Lytechinus pictus: one gene and its partners. The protein of the gene in region 2 purifies or fractionates together with the protein of the main gene of each other region. This does not show direct contact. Links are inferred from orthologs where the notes say so. Each region holds a gene or a part of one and is shown on either strand. Other genes may lie near its edges. The genes, in order: inhibitor of Bruton tyrosine kinase-like, ribonuclease P protein subunit p20-like and ribonuclease P protein subunit p30-like.

The links.
Region 1: the proteins of ribonuclease P protein subunit p20-like (region 2) and inhibitor of Bruton tyrosine kinase-like purify together in Homo sapiens (affinity purification with mass spectrometry; 3 studies listed by BioGRID and IntAct, with this or other methods). This does not show direct contact. The link is inferred for Lytechinus pictus from reciprocal best matches to the Homo sapiens genes POP7 and IBTK.
Region 3: the proteins of ribonuclease P protein subunit p20-like (region 2) and ribonuclease P protein subunit p30-like purify together in Homo sapiens (co-immunoprecipitation; 4 studies listed by BioGRID and IntAct, counting the BioPlex papers as one, with this or other methods). This does not show direct contact. The link is inferred for Lytechinus pictus from reciprocal best matches to the Homo sapiens genes POP7 and RPP30.

Annotation. Positions count from the first base shown.
Region 1 is NC_087248.1:19,338,447-19,346,950, reverse strand, and holds the start of inhibitor of Bruton tyrosine kinase-like, read right to left. Parts: upstream 3,264-8,504; 5' UTR 3,111-3,263; intron 1,945-3,110; 5' UTR 1,274-1,944; coding exon 950-1,273; intron 361-949; coding exon 139-360; intron 1-138. UniProt on the Homo sapiens protein: Acts as an inhibitor of BTK tyrosine kinase activity, thereby playing a role in B-cell development. Down-regulates BTK kinase activity, leading to interference with BTK-mediated calcium mobilization and NF-kappa-B-driven transcription.
Region 2 is NC_087259.1:13,427,015-13,434,009, reverse strand, and holds ribonuclease P protein subunit p20-like, read right to left. Parts: upstream 1,752-6,995; coding exon 1,302-1,751; downstream 1-1,301. Other genes in the region: ubiquitin-related modifier 1-like, read right to left, coding at 1,809-1,877, 2,644-2,692, 3,316-3,397, 3,975-4,045, 5,773-5,816. UniProt on the Homo sapiens protein: Component of ribonuclease P, a ribonucleoprotein complex that generates mature tRNA molecules by cleaving their 5'-ends. Also a component of the MRP ribonuclease complex, which cleaves pre-rRNA sequences.
Region 3 is NC_087256.1:15,071,620-15,080,355, forward strand, and holds the start of ribonuclease P protein subunit p30-like, read right to left. Parts: upstream 3,362-8,736; 5' UTR 3,288-3,361; coding exon 3,203-3,287; exon of another isoform or gene 3,118-3,202; intron 1-3,117. Other genes in the region: kinesin-like protein KIF20B, read left to right, coding at 7,955-8,191. UniProt on the Homo sapiens protein: Component of ribonuclease P, a ribonucleoprotein complex that generates mature tRNA molecules by cleaving their 5'-ends. Also a component of the MRP ribonuclease complex, which cleaves pre-rRNA sequences.

The DNA of each region.
Region 1 (8,504 bases), on a different chromosome or scaffold from region 2:
TTGAGCAGTTCAAGTTGATCTTGTTGTTACTTTATCATGACAACATATCCTTCACACTTTTATTCTTTATATTTTTTTATAGTTACGGTAGAACAATATAAAGAATCTAACAAGTGAGGATTTAAAAAAGCCCTTTACCTGTTTGATACTGTGATTGTCTGCAGCTAGAGAATCCACCAGCTCGGGTTGATCTCTGCTGCGCTGTCTGCCATGCCCGAGGTTAAAGTTCGAGTTGGTTCCCCATGAATAAGCCTGGGTAGGATCGACAGGGTCAAAGGTCACATAAGCTGGTTTGTCTTTCATTACCAACTCCAACGGGGTCAGCTCATCCTTGTCATATCGCTTCAATGATGCTCCATGCTAAGAATAGAGATTGTGGTGTAATAAACCATATGTTAGAAATGAGTTCAAAAAAATAAATACAAAAAATGACCAAGTACAGACTCATGTGATATAATCCATAATAAGTGTGGGGTACTCGTTCAAACAATGCTTTTTGAACCAGATGCTTGAGTATTATTTTCTATTACTCTATCAAGTTCAATGGTCTAGACAATATCAAGAACATTGTGTGATTACTGCAAGAATTAAAAGAAGAATCACATTCGCTGTATTTGTTTTTTATACTAATCTTGAGAGCACAAGGATTGCCATTTTTTTCAATTAAAGATGTATTTCAGAGACTTCATTAAAAAAAAATCACTGGCAAATCTTTAAAATGAAACCAGTTACAATAAGAATGTCTTCAAAGTATGCACTTATGTCCATAGAAATGTATGTCCTCAGGGTGTTTAAAAAAAAGTAAAGAGAGACTTAATGTCCATGTGTGTCCACAGAAACAATCAGATCATAAGAAAACATTTGCTCCTGGTACTCATCAACAAATTAAAAAATACCATACTGCTTTGGCACTTTACATTCAAATCAAACTTAGATTAAACTAACTCACCCGTATTAGACTGATAGCACATGAGATCTGTCCAAAGAACAGACTCCTATGCAGCGGGGTCCAGCCAGACTCCTTGTCCCTTACACGACAATCTGCTCCTTTGGCCAGAAGCCATTCCACAATCTCCAACTTTCCACAGGAGGCTGCAACATGAAGCAGATTCCTTCCGCTGAAGTCAGAGACAAAGAATGGATTGAGGCAGTGGGAGAGGATGAAGGTCTGGATCTGATGAGTGGTTCCACAGGTGATGACCGCAGTCATGTCCCGGCCATGCTCCTGGGAACGACATCGAGGAGTGCACTCCCATTCAAGGAGATGCTCCATTGGTGATTATGTTCTGGAAAACAGCAATGTCCTGAGTCTTGTTGGTGAAACTATGAGCAGGAAGATAGGTTGTTACCTTATATTAGATCCCTCACACTTCTCAAAAAGCTATACCTCTCTTGTCTAAATCAGTCAACAAAGATGTTTATCAATGGTTGCTGAATCACAAAGGAATGCTTTCAAAGATCCACCTGAACCAATGTTAATGATCAGACTGAATGGAAACTTGGTGTGTGAACTTTAATCCAATCTTGCAGATACTTAGACATGCTAGTTAACCCTCGGGCCTTGGATATTCTCAAGATTCTATGGTCAATGCTCAGGGCTTGAAACTATTCAGATACTCTGGTCAACCCACAAGGCTTGACGATACTCAGATTCTATGGTCAATCCTTAGGACTTGAAGCTACTCAAAAGACTTTCTGGTCAACCCTCAGTACATGGTGATTCTCAGATACTCTTGTCGACCCTCAAAGCTTGGAGATCTATACTCAGATACTCTGGCCAACCCTAAAGGCTTGACGATACTCCGATTCTTTGGTCAATCCTCAGAGCTTGAAGACTCTCGGATACTCTAGTCAACCCTCAGGGCTGCTACTCACAGCCCCACAGCCACTAGGGCCATGGTGACTAGAGCTCAGTCAAGCACACATAATGGTCAATCAGTCGGCCTGCATGTAATAGGGGGAAAAAAGTACCACAAAAAACTAGAATTTCAAAGCGTTCTCAATGCCAATGCCTACAGTGTCAGATTAATTATTTCCCAAGTCAAGAAATACAAAATATGAGCATCCATGATTCTTTTTAAAAATGTATTGAACTGTGTTTTAATGCTTATTTTGAGTATATAAAAATATAAACCTTTGTATTTTTCACAAGATGTACATAGTGTAATAACACCAACAGAAATTTCCGGAAATTTATCCTTCAGACCCAAAGAAATGTTTCTTTCAAAAGAAATTACATATATAATCATTTTATTGGTAGATTTACAATGAAATAAAAATGACTACTTCCTTATTCGGAGCGACAGCATTGTCTGTCACTGTTGACATGCTCGCTGAAACTTAGTCAGGCTCCACTGGCAAAAATTAAAATCAGGTCTTAGGATGCCAGTCATGCCAGTATAGAAACAAAAACACAAAAGCTTCAAAAGCAAAAACTCCTATATGAGTAAAAAAAAAATGATTGATTTAAATTAAAAGTTAAATCTCAAGAATAAGATTTTGCAAATATCAATGGTCTTTTCCATTTTTAAAATTAAAAAAGCATGATGAACTTGATTCTCATCACATCCCTCTTTGCACATGCAATATTTTTAAACTTAAATTGGAAATGGTAACATCATCACCTAAAGTGTGTCTTCTTTGCCTGTGGCAGGGAAAGAGAAAAGAAAATCACCACTTTTGAAATCAAACTCCTCAAATACAATTGCTCAAACTTCCCCAAATTTAATGCAAAATGAAAATTAATGCAAATGATTGCAAATTAAAAATCAAAACAAAAGGACATTCATTATGGCATTGTCATTGAGACCAGTTCACATACCATCCCAAAATATCAAATAAGGCCATTAATTATCGATGACATATGCGTGGGAACTTCGCTAACTCAACTGCTCAAATTGCGCAATTATGTTGCAATTTGAAACTGATGCGTACCAACCCAAGGTCGCTATTCCCCACTAAATGTACAGCTTATAAGTGCAGACTGTGCACAGCGATAACATAGGATAAGAAGATCCGAGATAACTTACCGCCGTTTAAAAAATAAAAGGGAAAAAAAGGTTATGTTTAAGTTTTTGAAAATGCAAATATAAAAGAAAAACTGAAAATACCTTCTTTATTTTACGATCACGATGGCAAAGAAGTGGAAAAGCTCTGGATTTGCAAAAACAAGTTGAAAACAAGGATCCATTTTCGTCCGGCAAGTCAGATAAATTGAAGAAAAGATGACACGTAACTTTTCGCCAGCCAGATATATAGATAAGTTAAGAGGTCAAAGGTTACCAGCTGATCTGGGGATGGGATGGGCGCTGCCCATTGTTTCCAGAGTCACAGAATGATCCAAAACCCCTCCAAAACAAATCTTCCGAACCTGAATCCCAAATTTCCCGAAATTCATAGACATTTCCTGGAATTTTCAAGTTTGATTTTGAACAAATCTCGGACAATGATACAGCAGCAACTTTACACTTAGTCCAAGGGACCAAAATCAAGGAATTTAACCTTTTTTTTTTTCTTCACGTGCATGCGCCCTTTTTAAAAATAGGAACAAAATTATGAAATGCGAGCGCGGAGGGCGAGCATAAAATTTTGAGCTATCTATGAGACAAACAAGTCTTTAAATATAGCATGAATATTGAAATTTATTACGTTTAATTGTTGCTTGATTGTAATTTTTGGATTTCCCGAAATTACCTGGAATTTTTCCATCAGTACCCGGACCTGAAAATGCATGATCTGGAAGTTCTCGGAATTCGGGTAATTTCCTTCAAAGTGTGAACTGTTACAGAAAGTGCAAGTCTCTCAAGAAGCAAAATTAAACTTTGTAATGTAAAAATGCCATTAAAACAGAGGTGTGCCCCCTCTTTTGAAATTGAAGACCTTTTTTTTTTGCTTGTCAATTTTTTTCGGGTACAAAATATCCTTAATTTGTGGTTGAAAACATTTTTTTTTGCTTGTCAAAATTTTCCTCCGAAAAAATTGCCCCCCCCCCCTTTTGGGAAATCCTGGATCTGCCCCTGTCTCAAGCCGCATGTTTATTTGGTTGAAAATCAAGTTACGATTGATATTTTTAAAGTTTTGTTTGAATGATTGCAATTAATCCTCTCAGCAATTTCTCATGACATAATAACCCAGGCAAATCCATTTTAGGACCTCGTGTAAAGTTGAAATTTAAATTTAAATTCATTTATTTGTCATCTCCTAAAAACAGAATACATAGTGAATTACTTCAATAAAATAAAACAACAATGGCAGTTGTACAATAATTGACAAGAAACATATAAAGTAATGAATGGGTTGTGAGGGAGTAACAAAAAGCCATTTGTTGGCCTATTAAAAAGTGTCAATGTTAATAAATTCGAGTAGCCCAGCCCTCGGTCGATCCCCTGAACTGTATAATTTATTTATGTAGAGAGATACGTATCCCCTGGGGCACATATCCAATCATGAGATCTTTTTAAAGTGTCTGGTTTGTAAGAATAAGTTATCTGTACTTGAACAGTTTTTACAACTACCCCAAACGCCCCCCCCCCCCTCGGATTCGAGCGAAAATATGGAAGAAAATGTTTTTGTCGGGCGCGAAGATAGCTGTTTATTATATACAGACTTTACAATGATATACAGACCTGAAAATGAGACATATTTTAAAGGACCATTTGCATAACTTGGATTACCAAACGATTTGAGCCCGACGCGTGAGCTGAATCTCTTTTTACAGATAATATATTCAGACATGAAAAGGGCCGGACAGTTTTAACACTTTATATGATGCATATATCACAAAATAAAAATAATGGAAACTTCAAGTGCCGTAGGCCTATTATTTTGGTTATTTTGGTTTCAGACATGAAAGGGACAGTTTTAACACTTTATATATCGATCGATGCATATATCACAAAATAAAAATAATGGAAACTTCAAGTGCCGTAGGCCTATTATTTTGGTTATAAGGGCCTAATTACTTGAAAACGGGATATCTTAAGCGCCATACAACGCCGGTTGAAGAGATGATGTATCTCATTGCTATCGAGAACCTATTTTCCAATTCTATCAGTTCCCTTATTTTACTCACTCCTCATTTGATTTTTCTCCTCTTATTTTACTGCCTAATATTTTTCTCTCCTCTCCTTCTTTATTCTCTTTATCCTCTCCCCCTCCCACTTTCCCCCTTTCAATGCTGTCGAAAGGGGCCGGGGTCGCAGCCGCTTCAGCCCCCCTGGATCCGCCTATGGTATTTTTTCCCCACTAACGACGAGGCCTGTATGTGTGCGTGAAACGGAAAGGTCAATAAATATTATATCACACAAATGTGATATGAGTATTTCGATTTTCATTTGGACTACTAAGTTTGGAGAAAGTTATGCGTGCAAAGGGGGAAAGCGAAAGATACATAAATCAGTGGCGTTAGTGAGCTCCCCCCCCCCCCCCCAAAAAAAAAAGAGGGGGTCAGATGTGGCGAATGGAGCAAAATTTCACACTTACATGGCTATATGATTTTCACCTTTAATAAACCCTTTTAACAAAATTAGAAAATTTATAATATATGGGGTAGCTGCTCGCATAATATGACGTCACAAATAAAAACTTCACAATTGTCATAATAATGGATTTCTATATAGCTGCCAAACCTTCACCGATATTTTTATTTTTATTTTATTATTATTTATTTTTTTATAGATTTTTCTTTCAGCCTGGGGAGCATTTCATCAACATTTTTGTCTGACAAGTTGTCAGATCTGACATCATTCCTTGATTCTGATTGGCTGAGAAGCACTGTTACTATGGTAACTGTCGGATAAACCAGGACGTGTCGGATGAAACGTCCGACAAGTTCTTTCGTGAAAAGCTCCCCTGATGTTGCCATCATAAAACGACGAAGAGTGGCCCATAAATGCCACAAAATAAATAATACCAACTTATTGCTTATAGAGATAACACCTTTTGAAATGTAAAATGACCGACTTCTCTCAATGACATGGAATTTCCCCCAAAATATATGAATTGAATCATTTTGTTCAGGGGCTAAAAAAAAAGCTTCGAAGTCCTCCGTTTTTTGAGAACTATAAAGCCGTTGAAAGAGACTCACGTTCAAATCCAATTTCTGCGCACTAAAGCGTAAATCCTAAAAACAATCATGTAAGTGATTTGATTAAATGCAAATTCATAGTTGCTTTAAAAATAATGCAACCTTTTTGCAATGCCTATTTTGCTCAATTTTGTTCGGACTTTCTTTGTAATTGAACGCATGAAAATTTTGAAAACGAAAAAAAAGGGTCTTCACTCCCAAATCTAAATCATTTTGTTCCATGAACAATAAGACAAGAAAAAAAAAAGAAGATCCTCGCGCCAATGCAAGACATATTCCACTAGAAATTATTTCTTGTTCCTTTCAAGGGGGGCAGTGGCCAGATGTTCCCCCCTCTGGATTCGCCACTGTCCCACCCCTATACCCTCTCTTTTAAGATCCTCTCATAAATCCCCTCTTCGTGATTTCTTCTCTCTTTTGACTCCTTCAATCTCATTATCTCTTGACTCTTCCTATCCATCTCTCTCCCCTCCCTTCTTCATTCTTTCTCTCCCATCGATCTTATTCTCCCCTCACTCTTCAAATCAGCGGCACAATGAGCCAACAACCAACATTGAGGGGGCTAGACATGACAGAGGGAGAAAAAGTTCTTGAAAAGGTGCGAGAAAGAGAAGTAAGAGGGCAATCAGGGGCGGCGATCCGGGGGGGGGGGGAGCACAGTGCCCCACACTTTTTGAAGCACTGAAAAAGTGCCCCTTTTTAGCAAGAAAACTTTAGAAAAGTGCCCCCTCACGAACGTGTACAGTGCCTCTTTCATCGGAAGAGGACCCGTTTTAGGTGTTTCCAAGTGCCATTTTTTTTCGTATATAAGTGCCAATTTTTACCCCAAAATGCTTTCCCCCCTCATGAACGTGTACTGTGCCCTTTTCACCTGAAAAAGACCCGTTTTTATGTGTTAGCAAGTGCCATATCTCGTATCAGTGCCAAATTTTACCAAAAAAATCACCCCTTACGTTTGTGTTCTGTGCCCCTTTCACCTGAGGACCCGTTTCATGTCTGAGCAAGTGCCATTTTGCCATCTTATAGGTGGCCTTTCTCGTATCAGTGCCCCTTTTTACCTAAGAAAAGTGCCCCCACGAACGTGTTCTGTGCCCCTTTGACCTGTTTTGTGTGTTAACGAGTGCCCATTTGCCTTGTAATAGGTGCCTGTTCTTCATATCAAGTTGTACTGAAAAAAACACTATTTTCGTGCCCGATGAGCGCCCGGTTTCTCTATTTAGCGCCGTTCTGCTTCCTTCTGCAAGTGCATAATGGATGAAAAAAACTTATAAAAATAATCCCACGTGAGTGGGGTAGAGAAGTCCCTTTTCATTGTTTTAAGATCATGGCCGTACGCAGCAGGGGGGGGGATTGCCCCTAGCTCCCCCCCCCCAAACTTTTTTTTTGAAAACTCACATTTTTTTACTGCAGATTTTCACAAAATTCGCCAAAAATATGCACAAAATCCAACTTAACAAAATGCAAACGCGCCTCAATGATAAGCTCGGTCGCTTCACTCCCTCACTTTCCTAACAAGATTACGCTTGCTACCCCCCCCCCCCAGCTAAAATTTTCTGCATATGGCCATGTTTAAGATAGTGCCCTTTTTGAAAATTTTCTGTGTGTCTCCCTTTCAACTTTGCTCTGCCGCCCCCTGAGGGCAATAATAATAATTTAATGGTTTGGATAGGATTTTACATTCAGAAAATATATTTCATATTCCAGGAGCGGCGGAAAGTATTTTCGTTTGGTGCGGATGGGGGGGGGGGGGGGGGGGCAAAGACTAAAAGGGAACTTATTATATGTCGAAATGGACATTTGAGTGCAGATATTTTCATCATCAGATTACATTTGTGCCTTCAGTACTAAGTTGAGCAAACCCTTTTCAAAAAGAGATTTGAAATATACACTTAGGCTTTATTCATTCCGCGAGCGAGCGGTTATGAAAAAAAATGAGTTGTAAAACTCTCTGTGGTCAATTCTGGCACTAATTAAGGCTACGACTGAAATGTCATTCTTCCACTTGAAGTGATTTTGTTATTTGTTAAACGATTTGTTATATAGAAAGTGAATGTAACTATGCAGGATCAGATTAAGCTTTTGCCAAAAGGGGGCGGGCGGGCCAAAAATATCTCTATCGACATTTTGCCCGATCGGCCGCTGAAAGGCTATTTGTTGTTGTTGGTCCTTCAAAAAGGTATTCCTTAAAAGTTTTGAGTACATCTTAGTTATACTCTCCAAACTTATCTTAACAATGTTATAAGGCCTAAATAAATATTGCGAGCGCGAGCTCAAATCTTTGCAAGGACATTTCATGTATTTAGTAGGAAATCATTTTTTGTAACCATGAAAGAGATGTGTATCTAACTATATAGGACTAACGCGAGCGCGAGCTGAAAGTTTTTCATATTACGACCTGAAAAAGACTTTCTAAGCACTT
Region 2 (6,995 bases):
TCGAGTGCAGCGCACTGTGGATCAATTTCTTGCTGAAAGAAAGTATGACATGGCTAGGATTCAACCCATGACTCTCTGTTTCAAAGTCTGGAGACTAATCCACTGGGCCACCTATCATCTATCACTTTAGCATCAAGTTACATAAATGCATTTGTTATTCCAATAATCCCATGATTTTTTTAAAAACAAATTTGACTTCATTTTATTTTCAAATCAAGTACATGTACCTGTACAAAAATGGCTAAACTACACTGCTTTCGTTTTGTGTGTTTTGTTTTATCTTTTACTATTGCAAGTTAGAAGCAAGTGCTAAAAGATCCTGAAATCCTTATACAAAGATTATGTGAATCACAAAAGTCAACAGGTTAACTCATTGCAACTTTGTCATAATCTTTGCATGAACTCTTGAGCTAATGAGAGCTTTACAAATCATGTACACATATCAAACATGGTGTGGCAAAAACTACTTGATCCCATTTACATAATTTAGAGACATCGATTTTCTGTCTGCCAGTATTAAAATAAAAGTGGAAAACTAGTTTTAGTTATTTAATTTTCATGCAAAATTCACTGAATTTACCTTCACAAAATTGAATTCAAGTTTTTTGCCGTCTACATTTTCTTTCAAGGTTGAAATGGAATTGCAGGTTTTCAGAAATAGAATAGGCTGTTTTTTGTTCAAATGGAAACTAACTGCCCCTAATAATGACTCTTGTTTAATTGTAAATAGGTCTCAAAAATATTTTCTGTTACCATAAATCATAATTCCATAATCAATACTTTAAGAGAATGCAAATTTGTTTTTCTTGCAAATATGTGATCTATCATAGATTTAACCATGGTAACATAATTACCAGAAACTTAAGCAATTTTCACAAAACAAAATATCTATTGCAATCAAAATTGCATGAATTATAATGGCATTATTTCTTATATGCTTCTTTTCATCCAAGAGTTTGAGTATTCTGTACTTTCAGTTTAATTGTTTTCCTTCAAACACAAAATGAGGTGATTGTTTCTCTCATGTGGAATAACCATAAACCAACATTCATATTTTTGAAGAATAAAAGGTTTATTCCTCCATTAACTGTTTTAATTCCCATGAGATCAAATCATCATCTAATATGCTCTGATGTACGTTTCAGTGAAAACCAAAGGTGAGTCAACTGACACTGCTACAAACTTAAATTCTAAAACCAGAGAAAGGAGAGAAAAGATTAGTTCATCATACAACTTTATCATCACCACGGAATGTCTGCATCCTTTCTCAAAAAAGACCTTGGCCATGGTTATAAGTCACATCACTTATTTGGCCCATCCATTTTCTTGCTTTCAGTCCTAAACACTCTAATATGGACAGCAGAGTTGCTTCTCTCCCTCGTATCAAAGTCCCCTTCATCGCAGAGTGGTTCGATGTCGTCCACCAGGTTGACAGTGGAAGTGCTGATGGATATCTGGAGTGTGCCAAGACTTCGGGACTCCAACTGAAGAGCAATGTTTAGTGCTCTGTTGATAGCTGCACCAAGACCATGAATGAACACCTCTTTCTCTCCCCCGTCAAAGAGTTTCTCACACTTTTCCATCTGGCTGGCAAAGTTAGACTTGCGAGTCACGTAGATGTCATTCTTGCGCTTCGGAAGTCTGCGGGGCTGACGCTTCCGGATACTCACCGCCGCTGGATTGACCTTCGGTTTGGCCGACTTGTGAGGGCGGGCTTGGGGGGTAGCCGGCTGTGCATCGCCCGAGGCCATCTTATTTTGAGTTAAACTTTCAATTTTATTTTCCCGAGTGAAACTGTCAAAGGCAGCTCATCCACCGTGAAGGGTTGATATGAAGATAATCTTGTCCTTATTTTGTATCTCGTACTCTAATTCACCCTGGATAAAAGGGATGGTAAAAATAACAGCTTAGAAGAAAGGATAAATGTAAATGGTTATCAGATTTATGGACATTTTAGATAACATATTTATTTTTCTCTTTTCTACATGATGCAATATCTCTATACATTACTGTTCTAAATATCAAATCTAAGTTGATGGCATGAGCAAAACAGACCCTGTTAACACAGTACAGTACTGTGAATATCAAAACAGAACTATATCTATTGATAAAAATAAACTTACAAATCGCAATGTATCACTTACCACTGCAGTACACAAGAAATAATCAACATCAAACACTCTTAAGAGGTTTGACATAGATTTTCCTAAGGCACATACTTTGCTTCATTTTAAGAAGATTGTGTCTTTTGTGTCTTCTTTGTTTGTGCAATCTATGAAATTTGGAAAGGATAACACTTCATAAACAAATTAACACTACTTTCCTAAAATAATGCACACTCTTAGGTTTCCAATTTTCAAAAAAGTAAAAGGTGGTAAAATAAGTCTGCAAAAAAATGTGTTGTCCCAAATGCAGTAAGACTGTAAGTTCCCTTTTAAGTATGAGTGATAAATCATCTATTTATAGGCATTATGTATTTAAAAAGAAAAACACACACAGCTTCCAATTAACATACCAAATCATGCTTGTTTTCAAAGCTGATCAATAATAAAGAATAAAATGTATGTTTGAATGACATCATTAGGTGAGAAGTAAATCTAGAATTCATTTCATAATCATCAACTATGTCTAGCAATGTCTTACCACTAATTCCCAATCAGCATCATTTACAAGGACCAGAATACCAGGTCTCCTGTTCAAAAGAAATGATACAAAATTACAGATTTCACTATTAGAATAGGCAGTTGTCAATCAAAACATGAAACACAATATCAACATAACCCTGTTAAGAAATGCTAGCTTTCATACCCCAACCCACATCTACCGGCAAAGTATGCTGCATGAAATTTACTCTGCAGACAAAAATATTTACCTTTATAACATTCAATAGCCAACTATACAAAAACCTTGTTTGACTGAAGAAAATGAACACTTCCATGTTTACTTTATGCAAAAATGATACATAACAAATGAAAAATATGTCTCAAAAGTTAAAATGAAGGTAAACTTGAAAACAGACCAGGGGGCCGTTTCATAAAGCTGTTAGTAGGTTAAGAGTGACGACTGGTGATCCTTTCTTGTGGTGATATTCACCATTTTGTGATTATTTAGTGCATAAGAAATGTTAACCAGTCGTTCTTAAAGTTGCTCTTAACTTACAAACAGCTTTATGAAACACACACCTGACCTACAAGTAAGATACACTGTAAACATTTTTTGAATTCACATATTACAACACTCAAGAAAAGACCTGTCCATCTGTTTTATACTCCTTTTCTTTTTTTTGTGTTGATAGAAAAAAATTGAAATGCTTACACCGTGTCTCCTTGGATGAATAACTCTGGTCTCTCTTTCAGAAGGTTATCTTTGATCCAAACCAGCAATGTCTTGATTGTCCCTTTGAAAAGAAATAAGAAAATTAGAACAAAATAGTTCTCCATTTTATCTTTAAAATAAAGTGTGTCCTGAAATAAGTAACCTAAATCAATTATGAATAAAGTAATCACACTAATTTGACAACATGAAGAATAATTTTTTTTTCCTTAAGCAAAAGGGAACATACATGTATAATACCAATTTAATAAAAATCAGTATGTTCTGTCTTCAACCATTTTCAAGTATAAGAAAAGACATTTATTGACAATGAATCCCCCAAAATAAATTTAAAAAAAAACTATACCAAAATGAAGTTCAGGAGCGGATCCAAGGTTTTCCAATAGGGGGGAGGGCACTTTCCTGATGAAAATGTGACAAAAAGAAGGGGGGGGGAACACACTTGGGTAAAAACGGCATGTTTACATTAAAAATTTGGATTATGGCTCTCAAAAGGGGTGGGGGGGCGGGCCAGCTGTGCCCCCCCCCCCTAGATCTGCCCATAGAGCTATTAGCTCTATGATCTGCCATTGCTAGATTTAAATATGTTGTAGTAGGAGCAAATATTCTAAAATTTATTCTTATATTCTAACAGAACTTACATTTGTTGTGACTGCAGTTCAAAACAGCATCATGATGCTTGATCTTGTCAAATAATAACTCTGCTCCACCACTGTAAGGATGATATCATTAAAAAAATAATCAATATACAAAAAAATAATCAATATATGTAGGTCTAGATCTACATGTACACGTAGATTTTGAAATAAAAGGGAAACCAACCCTAAGGTCCATTTGTTATGATAAAAGATAAGAAAAGAAAAATTAACACTGAAAATTTCTTAAAAAATAAGAGAGATATCACCTGATATGCGTCTCGTAGCTTGGCGAAGAACAAAAAGAACAAGATGGCGACGTAAACATCGCGGCAAGTTTTCCCTGTCTTTTTATAATTTTTTTTAATGAAATTTTGTTTAAAAATGAAATCAATATCGTATAAATGTCGGAAATAAAGTTGTATCCCATTAGGGCTAGATCTTTTAGAAGGAAAGTAGAAATCTTGGGGGCGAAAATTTCAGTTTTTTTCCCAGTACACGTAAATAGATGGGGCGCAATCCCTGGCTCTGTGGAGAGTAAGCACACGTTAGCGAATGATTTTTACTCTCTGGGTCTAGACCTCCTGGCTAGTGGGTCCTGCATCGTAAGCATCCAGATCGAGATTGGCAGCGGTCGCCGCAGACTCTAGAGGACTCTAATAATATAAATTAATAAATGAAAAACGACACTTCGCCCGGGCAGAGGCGCGGCGTGACGCATAACGCAGACCTCTCTCCCTCCCTTGTTTCAGTTCTCCCGCTGTTCGGAGATCGGCAGGTATCACTGCAGAAGCCAGAAGTTGAGTCAATGAGTCTGGACTCTGGTAAATCGGCCGTTCAGAAATTGCAGAAGTCAACTACTATATATTACTAATACTAAATACTAACTAAAGTAATGTCATGAATATACCTCGAGCGAAGTTCGTGCAGGCTCCACTCCACTCCACTACCGCTACACTACACTCCACCTACCATCAACCTAGACAGCTGGCAGCCGTCTGTTTTGAGGAGTTTTTTAACATTTTTTTTTTAAGTTCTCCTCATACACAGACAGCTCGCTAGCGTGCAGCCACCATTAGGGGACTTGCAATGCAAAATCCCCCCGTCGGGGCTCTTCAATTTTTGTCTTTAATCAATAAAAATTTTGAAAATTAATGCGACCAAAATGCAAATTGATATTCCCTCTTGGCATTAATTGCCAAGAAACGGAGAAAAATCGAGTTAAAAGGAACAAAAACAGTGACTTACCTCGGCTGTCGCGCAAATTCACTTCCCCGTTTTATCCGATCTTAAGTACATAAACATATGGCCATTGAGTCCCCTGTACAGATCGCGCTAGAACTTCGGTCTCTGTATTTGGTGAGTGAAGCCAACGGAGTTCCAACGGAGTTCAGCTGAACAACCAACATAACAGAGACCGAAGCTTTTGGTCTACCATCAACCATGCCTACCCGAAATTCGGGTAGGTGGAGTGTAGTGTAGCGCCTAGCGGTAGTGAGAAGTGGAGTGGAGCCTGCACGAACTTCGCTCGAGGTAGTCATGAATATAGTCTACCGGAGATCTGCCGTAACCCCACGGCTACGTACCGTACGGTACCGCCACCGGGCACCGCCACCGGGGCACCGGTCCGATGGCGATGCGATGCCGATAGAACGGAAACCGTGTTCAAATTTCAAATAGGCAAATATATACACATTTCCACTCGATTTACACGCCGATATGATTCCAAATAAACCGGAAATAAAATAAAAAACATAATCACAACCATTGTTTAAATATTTTGCCTTAAAATTAGTGATATTACCTGAATTCAAGCTTCACGTGAATTTCACCAGTGGGCGCTGCCATATTTAATTTACAGGTACGGTAGCTATAATACTGCAAAGTCTAGATCTAGACAATCTCTCTTTTTTCACACTACACTGTAAATCAAGCACTGTCCCCGGGATGTGAACTTGTTTTTCATACTCACTTTTAAAAACCCTTTTCTTGTGTAATATACTATTACTAAGGCAGATATTTCCATTTATTTCAAAATCTCATTAAAAAAAACAGAATGGAAAAGTAATTTTAGGAACATTCTGAATCTGACCAAGACGTTTGTCTGAAATCCTTATGTCATTTTACTTAGCAGCAATTTAATTTTTCGTGTTATGTTTATATTGTAAGTTAGTTTGAGTAGCATCACTTAATTTCAGCAACTTGAATACAATTTGTGCAGCAAGGTCTCTGCCAATTCAAAAAACAAGAAAGGATTCATCATGGGTATTTTTCGTAGGCGAATTGGGTTATAGAGTAAGGTGATGTAACACAAAAATATTCTTAGCCGCGCCTTTAAATGTGTGGGCCTAAATCAATTATGAAGAGAACTGTCATCACATATCCTTTGATAAGACAATAGTTCAAATTTACCGTATCAAGTGGGTAGCCGTGGGTAGGCCCCACTTTTGGCCGAAAGTTGTACACAAATATTATGTGACACCCCCTCCCCAGTCCTCCCCAGTGCGTGAGGATTAAAATAGGACAACTGGGCCCGTCTTACAAAGAATTGCGATTGATCCGATTAAAATTTTTAATATCAACTGTATGGAGATCCATCAATGTCATATTTTTTCCTGCAGGAATTATATATAATAGGTATATAAACTGTAAAGAAGAGAAGCTCACTGAATTTCAAGAAAATGATAAATATATGAATTCATATCTAGAAAATATTTTGGAAAAAACCCATGCATTTCAGATTTTGACGTTGCTGGCTTTCCATAGTTGTTGTGGTGTCTTTATATCGTATTTTTTTCCATTTTGTTTTACTTAACAAGACTTGAGAAATCGTCTTTTCTTTGTGGGTGAGCATAACCAGTTAAATCAAGATAGTAGAAAAAAGAGAAAAGGGACATGGCAAGAGAGAGTTAGTAAAGATTCCCCCCAAGCACTCACGATTAATAATAAAAAACAACATAATTAGTGAGCAACATGAGAAATAGGACATTTCAACCAGTAATTAACGGGGTCTTTACATGTTAATGC
Region 3 (8,736 bases), on a different chromosome or scaffold from region 2:
AGTTGGCTTTAGTCCATCTTTGGTGAAGAGGTAGCAATAGAATTCTAGCTGGTCTACTCCAAACTCACACTTGTCAGAATTGAAAGTGATGTTGAAATCTGTAGCTCTCTTCAGGACTTGTTCTAGAGTTGCATCGTGCTCCTCAAGAGTTTTACCTCCTATCAAGATGTCATCTCTTTGATTTAGGCATTATGGGATATCTCCAAAGATGCGAGTGATTGTTTCATCAAACAGGTCTTGTGATGATTTTGCTCCAAAGATCAGTCTTTTAGGCCTCATGTTTCCCCATGGGGTGCTGAAAGTTGCTATGTGTCTGGACTATGGTGCGAGCATCAACTGGTGGTATCCATTCTTCGTCTAACTTGGAAAAGACTTTACACTCATGAAACTTGTGGATGAAGTCCTCTACCACAGGATTTTGGTTTATCCTGCTCCTTTCCATCTCTTTGTTTGGTATTCTTAGATCAATGCTTGTTCTTATCATGTTCTGTGTAAGACTCTCTTTTGGTTTGTCCTTATACCTTGGCTTTGGTTGTATCACCAATGGTGAACACCATGTAACCGGCTCATCTTCTGGTAGTGGCTCAAATATGTCTTCAGCAACACAGTGATCTAACCATTCCTTCAGCAGTTTCTGGAGATAGTATGGAACAGGGCGTGGCTTTTGAGCAACTGGCACTGCTCCTTCTTTCATATGGAAATGTGCATAAATATCCTTGTTGCTTCTTTTGTCATGTATCTTTCCAATGCCCTTGAATGCCTGAGCATTCTTCTTGATTATCTCATCCATAGAATCTGGTGGCTTGCTAACTTTCTTGGCTTGCAGAGTACCATTGGGTCTTATCTCCAACATTCCTAGTTTGGTTGCGGATACTCTTCCTAGTAGTGGTACACTGTCTATCTTCCCTCTTATCACATAAAATTCTTTTTCTATACCTAAGGTTTCATTCTCCACAGTTGTTGTGAATTTTCCTTTGACATCAAGTTCAGTTGTCAATGCACTGAGTTTAACCTCTGTGGGATGTAACTTCAACTCTCTATCGGATCTGTTAGATAATGCTTTAAACTGGTGCTCATCCATAAGGTTGACCTCGGAACCACTATCTACTTCAACCTTGGCATCTAGATTAGCAATTTTTATGCTGACATGCTTGTCCTGGATTCCTATCTTCCAAATTCGAACTGTTTTGGCTTGCTTAGTACTCAAGTGTTGCATAAACTCGTCATCAGAACTTGTATCTCCTTCCTGTTTCTTGGCAGTTTTCTTGACAAAGCTTATGTGTTTTCCTTTCTTTTCTTTACCATCCTTGAAAGAACTTGTTGCCTTCTTTTTGTCATCTGATTTTACCTTGGAGTTGGAACTTGATTTACCCACTGAGGCGAAGTGGTTGTATTTGCGACATTTATTACACTGCCTCCCATAAGCTGGACAATCTTTCCCTGGGGGATGTTTGTCAATCATGCCACAAAATGAACAGGCTCTCTGGTTCTGCTTGTTTGACTTTGGGTACATCTTTCCAACTTTACGTACATCCTGCGTACTCATGTCTGCCACTTGAAGCGAAACATCTTCTTTCTGCGTGGCTTCACTCAATAATTCGTTCAGGTTCCACCCTTTACTGATTGCCTTCTGAATTAGAGATGTGCTCTTAAGGGTTTGAATCAAATGCTCTAGGATCCTCTCCTCCAGTGAACTTCCAAATTCACACTCTACAGCTTTTTCCCGAACACGAGCAACATAGGCAGCAGTGATTTCCCATTCTTGCATTCTTGTTTTCGAGAACAGGTAACGAGCATGATGCTGGTTTTTCTTAGGCTTGTAATACTCATCAAGTTTCCTCCTTAGCTTTTGGTATTCATTCATTGGATTGTTAACATCCGTTTCTATTGGGTCTGGGAGTGATCTTGCTAACCTGGCAATATCCTTTCCCCCATAGATGATTAGTGCATCAGCTTTGTCAACAGGGTTCACTATCCGGAAATACCTGAATAATTTTCTTTCTAAGTCTTCTAACCATTCTTCCCAAGCTTTCCCAATCGAAAGTTGGTTATCCGGGTGGGTAAATGGACCAGTTTTCAGGTTTCTTGTTTCACTAACCACTGTTATGTTTTGATTCTGCCCAGTAGCCATTATTGTACTCTCTCACCATATAGTCACAAAAGAAATCTCCGTAAAAGTTTTACTATTACAGCGAAGTGGGGTCAAAACGAACAGGGAAGTTGCGGCAGGAAGACACAGCTACTCACCATTGGGCAATGCGATGGCTGGGCACACATCCATCAGGTTCCGTGGCGATTCAAAATCTTGGCAGGGTCGCCAATTTAACATCTAATTCTAAAGACTAAATTTCGAATCAGTCCAAATCATTATCATATCAGTCATTCCTCAGACATGCCACTTCATAGTTCACGCGACTGAATAACTCAGTTACTTCTAGGCTTGAAATATAAGTTTCATAACTTTACTTGTGTGTTTGCAATTACGTCACTGTTACACAATCGTGGCTATTAATTATGACTATGTATGCAGTTCTTTGTGATAGTCTTTGCATTCAGACTTTTCATTACTTTCTAGTCAGGGATATCATAAGTAATTCAAGTAGAAATAATTTTACTCCCGAGAAGCCTCCAGGCTAGGCCAGGTAAGAAACCTTAAAATTTTCACTTTTTTATTAACCAATTTTTTTAACCTTCATACGCATTACTAATTAGGCATTGTCATTGATTTAAGGCTCCTTAACCCTGCCACACTCATCTGTACACCCTCGTCATGAAGACAGTGAGATGTGGCCATCAAGGTAACTCAAGGTAACTCAAGTCAAGGTAAGGAATTAAGCTAAACTAAACTTCAAATATCAATAAAATTAATTCGTACAAATTACTTACAAATACAATACTACAAACCGATTTCACCCTGTAACTATCCATCCGGGTGTCAAGGTCTCGCTTCTGCGTCTATGGAAAGAGCGTCAAGGCTCCATGATGAAGAATATATGTCAAAATATTAAAAAACATCATCATGGAGGCCGGCCCAGGTGCACGAGCGCGAGCCGAACGAGATCCGCCGCTGCTTTCGGCGGGAAGTTCCCCGTGCCGAGTCTGACTCTGACTCTGAGACTGAGTTGTGTCCGCGTCCGGCGTTGATGGAAGAATAACCTGCGCGCGACTAAGCCTTAAGGAGAAAATTATGCACAATACTTACATCTTGCTGCTCTAGCGATTGCTCTTTGTTTTCTCTTCTCGTCAAACCGATTATCTATCAAATTTAGGTCAAAAAATTGCGTCATGTTTTCGATTGAATTCGACTTCCATACATGCACACGTGGGTAAATAATGTTTGTTTACGTTACATTGCGTGGATGGCGATCGACCAATCACTTTGCCCGTTACTCCTCGCCGCAATTAATGACAACCCCGTGTTTTGATTGGATAAGGTACTTCGCGAGCGCTCGAACCGGTCAAATTCGAAGAATCGCCAAGACCAAGTACATCATCAGTACAGCCTCAGGTAAGTCCAAGTCATTTAGTAAATTAAATATCATCTTATATGGTAAGCTTGTTCAACTATCTATCTTTTAACATTAAAGTAAGGCCTTGTAATTAAGTCAAATAGTGTGAGGTGAGTGAAGTGTAGTTTCTGGTTGTAGTTGTACCGTTTTTATGTTTGTGGCAGATTCATTTTCGCCTGGGATGCTGTTAAACTTAATGCGATGCCGATGGTGTTGTCGTTCATGTGCTATATGAATACGCGTATCAAGGAACCATGATATCACCAATTCAGTTGTGTGCATAATAATTTACTTACGATTGTATCATAAATGGCCACTCTTCATGCAATGCTTTTGTGCGAGGTTTTTTTTCTTAATGTGATGAATTTGTGTATGATTACATTTCAAAAGTGTGACTATTGATAGACAGGAATAACCGTCGTTTCTGGGGATTTATTCAACAATTTCTGACATTTTACTGTAATCCCCATTTAGATTTTAGTTTTACCGACGGTAGGGTGTACGTGTGGGCTCGCATGTGTTCTCATTCCCTCCCTTTTGTCAATTCACAGTCCAAAGTTTGATGTAATTTTACACATCGAATTTACAATCTAAGGATGTATAAACAACAAACTTTTAAAACTTGATATTTCAATGTTTAAATACTTTAAACGATATAGATGAAAAAGGCATGAAAAATATACTTTACCAATGTTTAATTGGGTTGAACACGATAAAAATGGTCAAAATGGCAGCCAAACTATAAAATATTTACAAACGAACGTCAACAATCACGAATGTGATATCGATATTGCTTTCGATATTATACGATCTGCTCCATATGCGAACGAAACCGAAGATAAACGATACTAGTTATACTAGTACTAGTACTAGTTATAATCGCGATATATCGATTCGAGACATTAATAACGATAATGACGTCATTCAAGATGGCAACTTGCAAGAAAAACCGTCAGGTCAGGTGAAAATGTCTTAGATGACAGATTTCTCAATCATCCAGAGGATTTTTTTCAATAACTCCGGCCCAAGGTATGCAATTACTTAAGTTATTTATATTTCCCTGATAATGGAAACCATGAAACTTTCAATTTTGCTTAAAAAACAGTTTTAAATCGCGATCTATAAAACGCTAGTTCACTATACGTTGGCTGTAGGTACGGGGCCCCGTCCCCTTCAGTCTATGTATGGTGAGTGGAGCCAACGTAGTTCAGCGGAACAACCAAAATACAGAGACTGAAGCTTTTGGTCTAGACTATTGATAGCGCATAGAAAATACAAAAGAAATGGTGAAAATATAGCTGCAGCGGGGTGGAAAATAGAGATTTGTTTGTTTTTTAATAATGTTTTAACAATAACAGACTGAGTTTTGCCTTTTGGTAAAATTTACTAAAAAGTTTGTTTGCCTGGCTTCAGTTCAGTTCAAGTTCTTTCTTGCACTGTTTACATTCCATAAAATGTGTAAATTTCTGTTGTCAGCTTTAATTCTGGGTCAAGCTGGCACGTTTTATGTAGAAAGGTAAAAAAGAATGCACACTGGCTTGGTTAATTGTTAGGCTGTCTGGCCTGCCTGGGATTTAGAATTAGTATTTTTCGGGGCTCAATGAATTTTTTTCTATTCTGCTCATTTCGTGTTCTATGGCTCGCTTGCATTCTTTAGCGGCTAGAAAGAGGGTGAGAGAGAGAATGAACAGGTGAGAGAGATAACTGAGTTGTAAGATACGAGTCGTAGAACGAGAGAATTAAGTATAGAGATTGGATGAGAGAGCTGTAGTAGTGGGAGTGGTTGAAGTGTGAGAGTCGCAGAGGGGGACAAGTTGATCGAGAGAGCAGTTGGGGGAGTGGTGAAGAGAGAGTTACGTAAGAGGGAAGAATAATGGAAAGCCGAAGAACTTGAATTTGGAATCATTAATTAGTTACATTTTATACATTGATATTACAGGCAGATTAATTTGGCGCATTGCACCAAAAGGGATAAGACCGATTTGGGGAAGGGTTTTCTCTCCACGTGGTGTTTGAGCCAAGAAGTATAAAATGGGCGTGTGCTAGGTCGGGCGGGGTAGTTCTTTTCGTTAACGATTTGTTTTGCTGCCGTTAGCCATGTCGGCTTAATTGTACTCAAATTGCGGTCGCCCAGCCCATAGATGGGACGTTATTATACTATATCAGCTTGTTGATTTGACATGGATTTTGAATAAACACATACACAACTTTACTTTATCTCTTTGTTCGAATTTGTCATTTCTCGGCTCCGTCTTTCTTTGAACGTGGGCAGCGCAAGACAGTGGGCGGCCACCGGCCGTCTTGCAAAGCTGTCCCGCTACAAAAATACCGAAAACTAAATTAAAATCCAGTTTGGTTAGCAGTAGAGGTGCATGGCCAATAATTATGCCATATGGGATGGGAAACTGTCTCCCATGAGAGAGATTATCTCCAATATCAGACTTGTAAAGAATTTGGGTATCCAATTTCCGAGACAGTCTCCAGTTGGGAGACCAATTTCCTTTGTTTACATTTGCTGCAAAAGGATTAGCTTAGTGGCACTCAAGGGTTCATTACATGCCGCTGTGCACGGGAAAATCAAGGCACGACTAACCATAGCTAGGAGGCTCCTAGAGTGTAAAAATGATTTACTAACGTATGCTTACTGTCCACGGAGCCAGGGATTGCGTCCCATTAATTTTTTATTGATTTTCATCAAAACTTTACCAGTATTTTTTCTCATTTGTTTTCTGATATTTTACAACAAACTTTCCTTTACTTTCTAAAGGTAAACCTTCTTTAACCCTAACTAGGCCGGGCTTTTTTGGCTGTTCTGTGGCCGGGGGGGGGGGGGGGGGGGGTTGATTCAACCCCCCCCCTGAGATCTCGGCCACCGATCGCGCGAGCGCCGCAAAAATTTGCATGCTGGTAGTGTGCGATGTAATCTACAAGGCTGTATGGTAAAATTTTCCAAAATAATGAGATTTTATTTTATATGAATTAATTATGCTAATTTATGCATAAATCATACTTTTTGCTCTAATTCACTAAATAAAGCTCCTAGAATGCTAATTTTTGGTAAAAATATTCTTTGTAGTATTCTTAACAATGGCAATTGAAAAAAACTTCGGTTTGGAAATCAATTTCTTATGTATTTTATTGTTTTATGAATTTCTTATGTATTTCTTTGTTTTTTGACCTTTTGTTTTTCTTTGTTTTTTTCACCAGATTTATTGCACAACCTTTTTGAAGCATAATTATGCTAAAATCAATTGCTTTCAGCTGTTTAAAGTAAAAATAATCATATCTTTATGAATAAGATGAGAAAACTCAATTTGCATTGACTTTGTACACAAAATCACGTTTTTGAACAATTTTTGGTCTGACATGCACTTACAAAATGTTGCGTAATTTCGGAACCGAATTCCCGGGTGTCATAAATTTGGTCTCAAAAGATGCGCGAGACTTAAAAGTATAAACTCTGCTAGTGGCGCGGTCAAAAAATTTCGCGCGGCGGAATGATCGCAGAAAATGTTGAGGGGGGGGGTTGATTCAACCCCCCCCCCCCCCGGCCATTTTAGGGTTAACAGTTAGAGATTTGGCACTTGTTCAGTTTTGCACCTGTAAAATGTAGTGAACCAGAAAAAATGTTCTTATTTTTTTATCACCAATGTAGATGGAAAACCTCACAACTAAATAATGATGAAACTAGGGTGATATTTTGTTAAAAACAATTTTGAATTAAAAGTGGGTGATAATGCCAACAAGACTCTTATCAATTGTGTCCATGAAACCCAAGTTTGACCAACTTACTTTCTTTCATTTGACATTCAATTTTGATGATGTATTTTTTTGCCCTCCCTCTTAAATTTCTGTGAGTGTGGACTTACCCTTGAATACTTTTTGTTATCTATCATAAAGTGAGTGATATAGACAATACAAAAAGCTTCTTCCCTGATGCGACCGCTGGCCAGGCTGTGGAATGCTTTACCACAGGCCGCTGTCTCCTGTACCTCTCTTCTATGTTTTTTAAAAAAAGAAAGAGAGGTACATGTACTCAAAATCCAAATTATTTAATTTTCACAGATGTCTTGTTTTTACATGTACATGCAGCTGCACATAGTATTGTAGAACCTTTTATTGAGACACTGTACATAAACTACAGATACCTGCACATGAGTATGGAAGTATACCAGACCTGTACTTACAGCAAAGAAGGAGAGTGATGTGCAGGTCAAATTATGTTGAAAATGTCGTATTTTGATTTTGTGCTTCGTTTTTGTCACAATTTATTCTTTCAGAAATCAGAATAGATCTAAGGCTTCAAGGCCTAAATTTATATCATTGCTTTATATTTTATAGTTGAATTCAGTTGAACAAACATAAATGCAATTTGACATACAGGTGTATCCTTTTTTAATTTTCAATTAAAAAATAGTGAAACGGGGAAGGACAGTATCGGCAACATGAGTGATTTCCCAGCCTCCAGTAACTTCTCAGACACTGAGGAGGACGTTGTTGAAGAGGAGGAAGATCTGCTAGCCTTCCAGGAGAGCATAAAAAAGGACCTCTTTACAGAATTCACGTCGGCCACGCCCATGAAGATTGCCAGGGTTAGCGTCGCTCACAATAGGGAACCGATGAAGGTTTATCTAAGAGTGAGGCCTTTCACTAATGCTGAGGTTGAAGGAGGCGAGTCCCAGGTACAGTATGTTTTTAGGCCTCCACCAACTGTAGGTGGTTGCTGGCAACATTCTGTTTTTGGTAGTACATGCATACTGTTTTCCTTCATGCTATAACTAAGAGAACTTGCTCTAATTGGGATATCGCACAGCAATTTAAAAATGAATTAAAAATATTCAATTAGATAAAACCAATCTAGACTTTTCATTTATTTATTCATTCTTTTGGTGTTTTTTTTCTGTTCTGACAAATTAAATATGGTCCTGAGAAAAACATTCAAGAATTGGTTTGTTTGGTTGCACCAACTCCGCTTTACACATGCAGATCCAATACTAGTAGATGAACCAGTTCAACTTTATTAGACTTGGTACATAAATGAATGGATTTCAGAATCTGATTGGGCTCTCAATATATTTGTATTAACAATTAAGAAGGTAATTCTGCCATATACCTCAGACCTGTTATGTAGGGAGCATAAAGTTTTACCACTTTCCCTCTGTCTCCAAGAGACCACCACCCTCTGTTTAAATTACCTTTAAGAATAAGGTTCTAATTTCCCAATTGA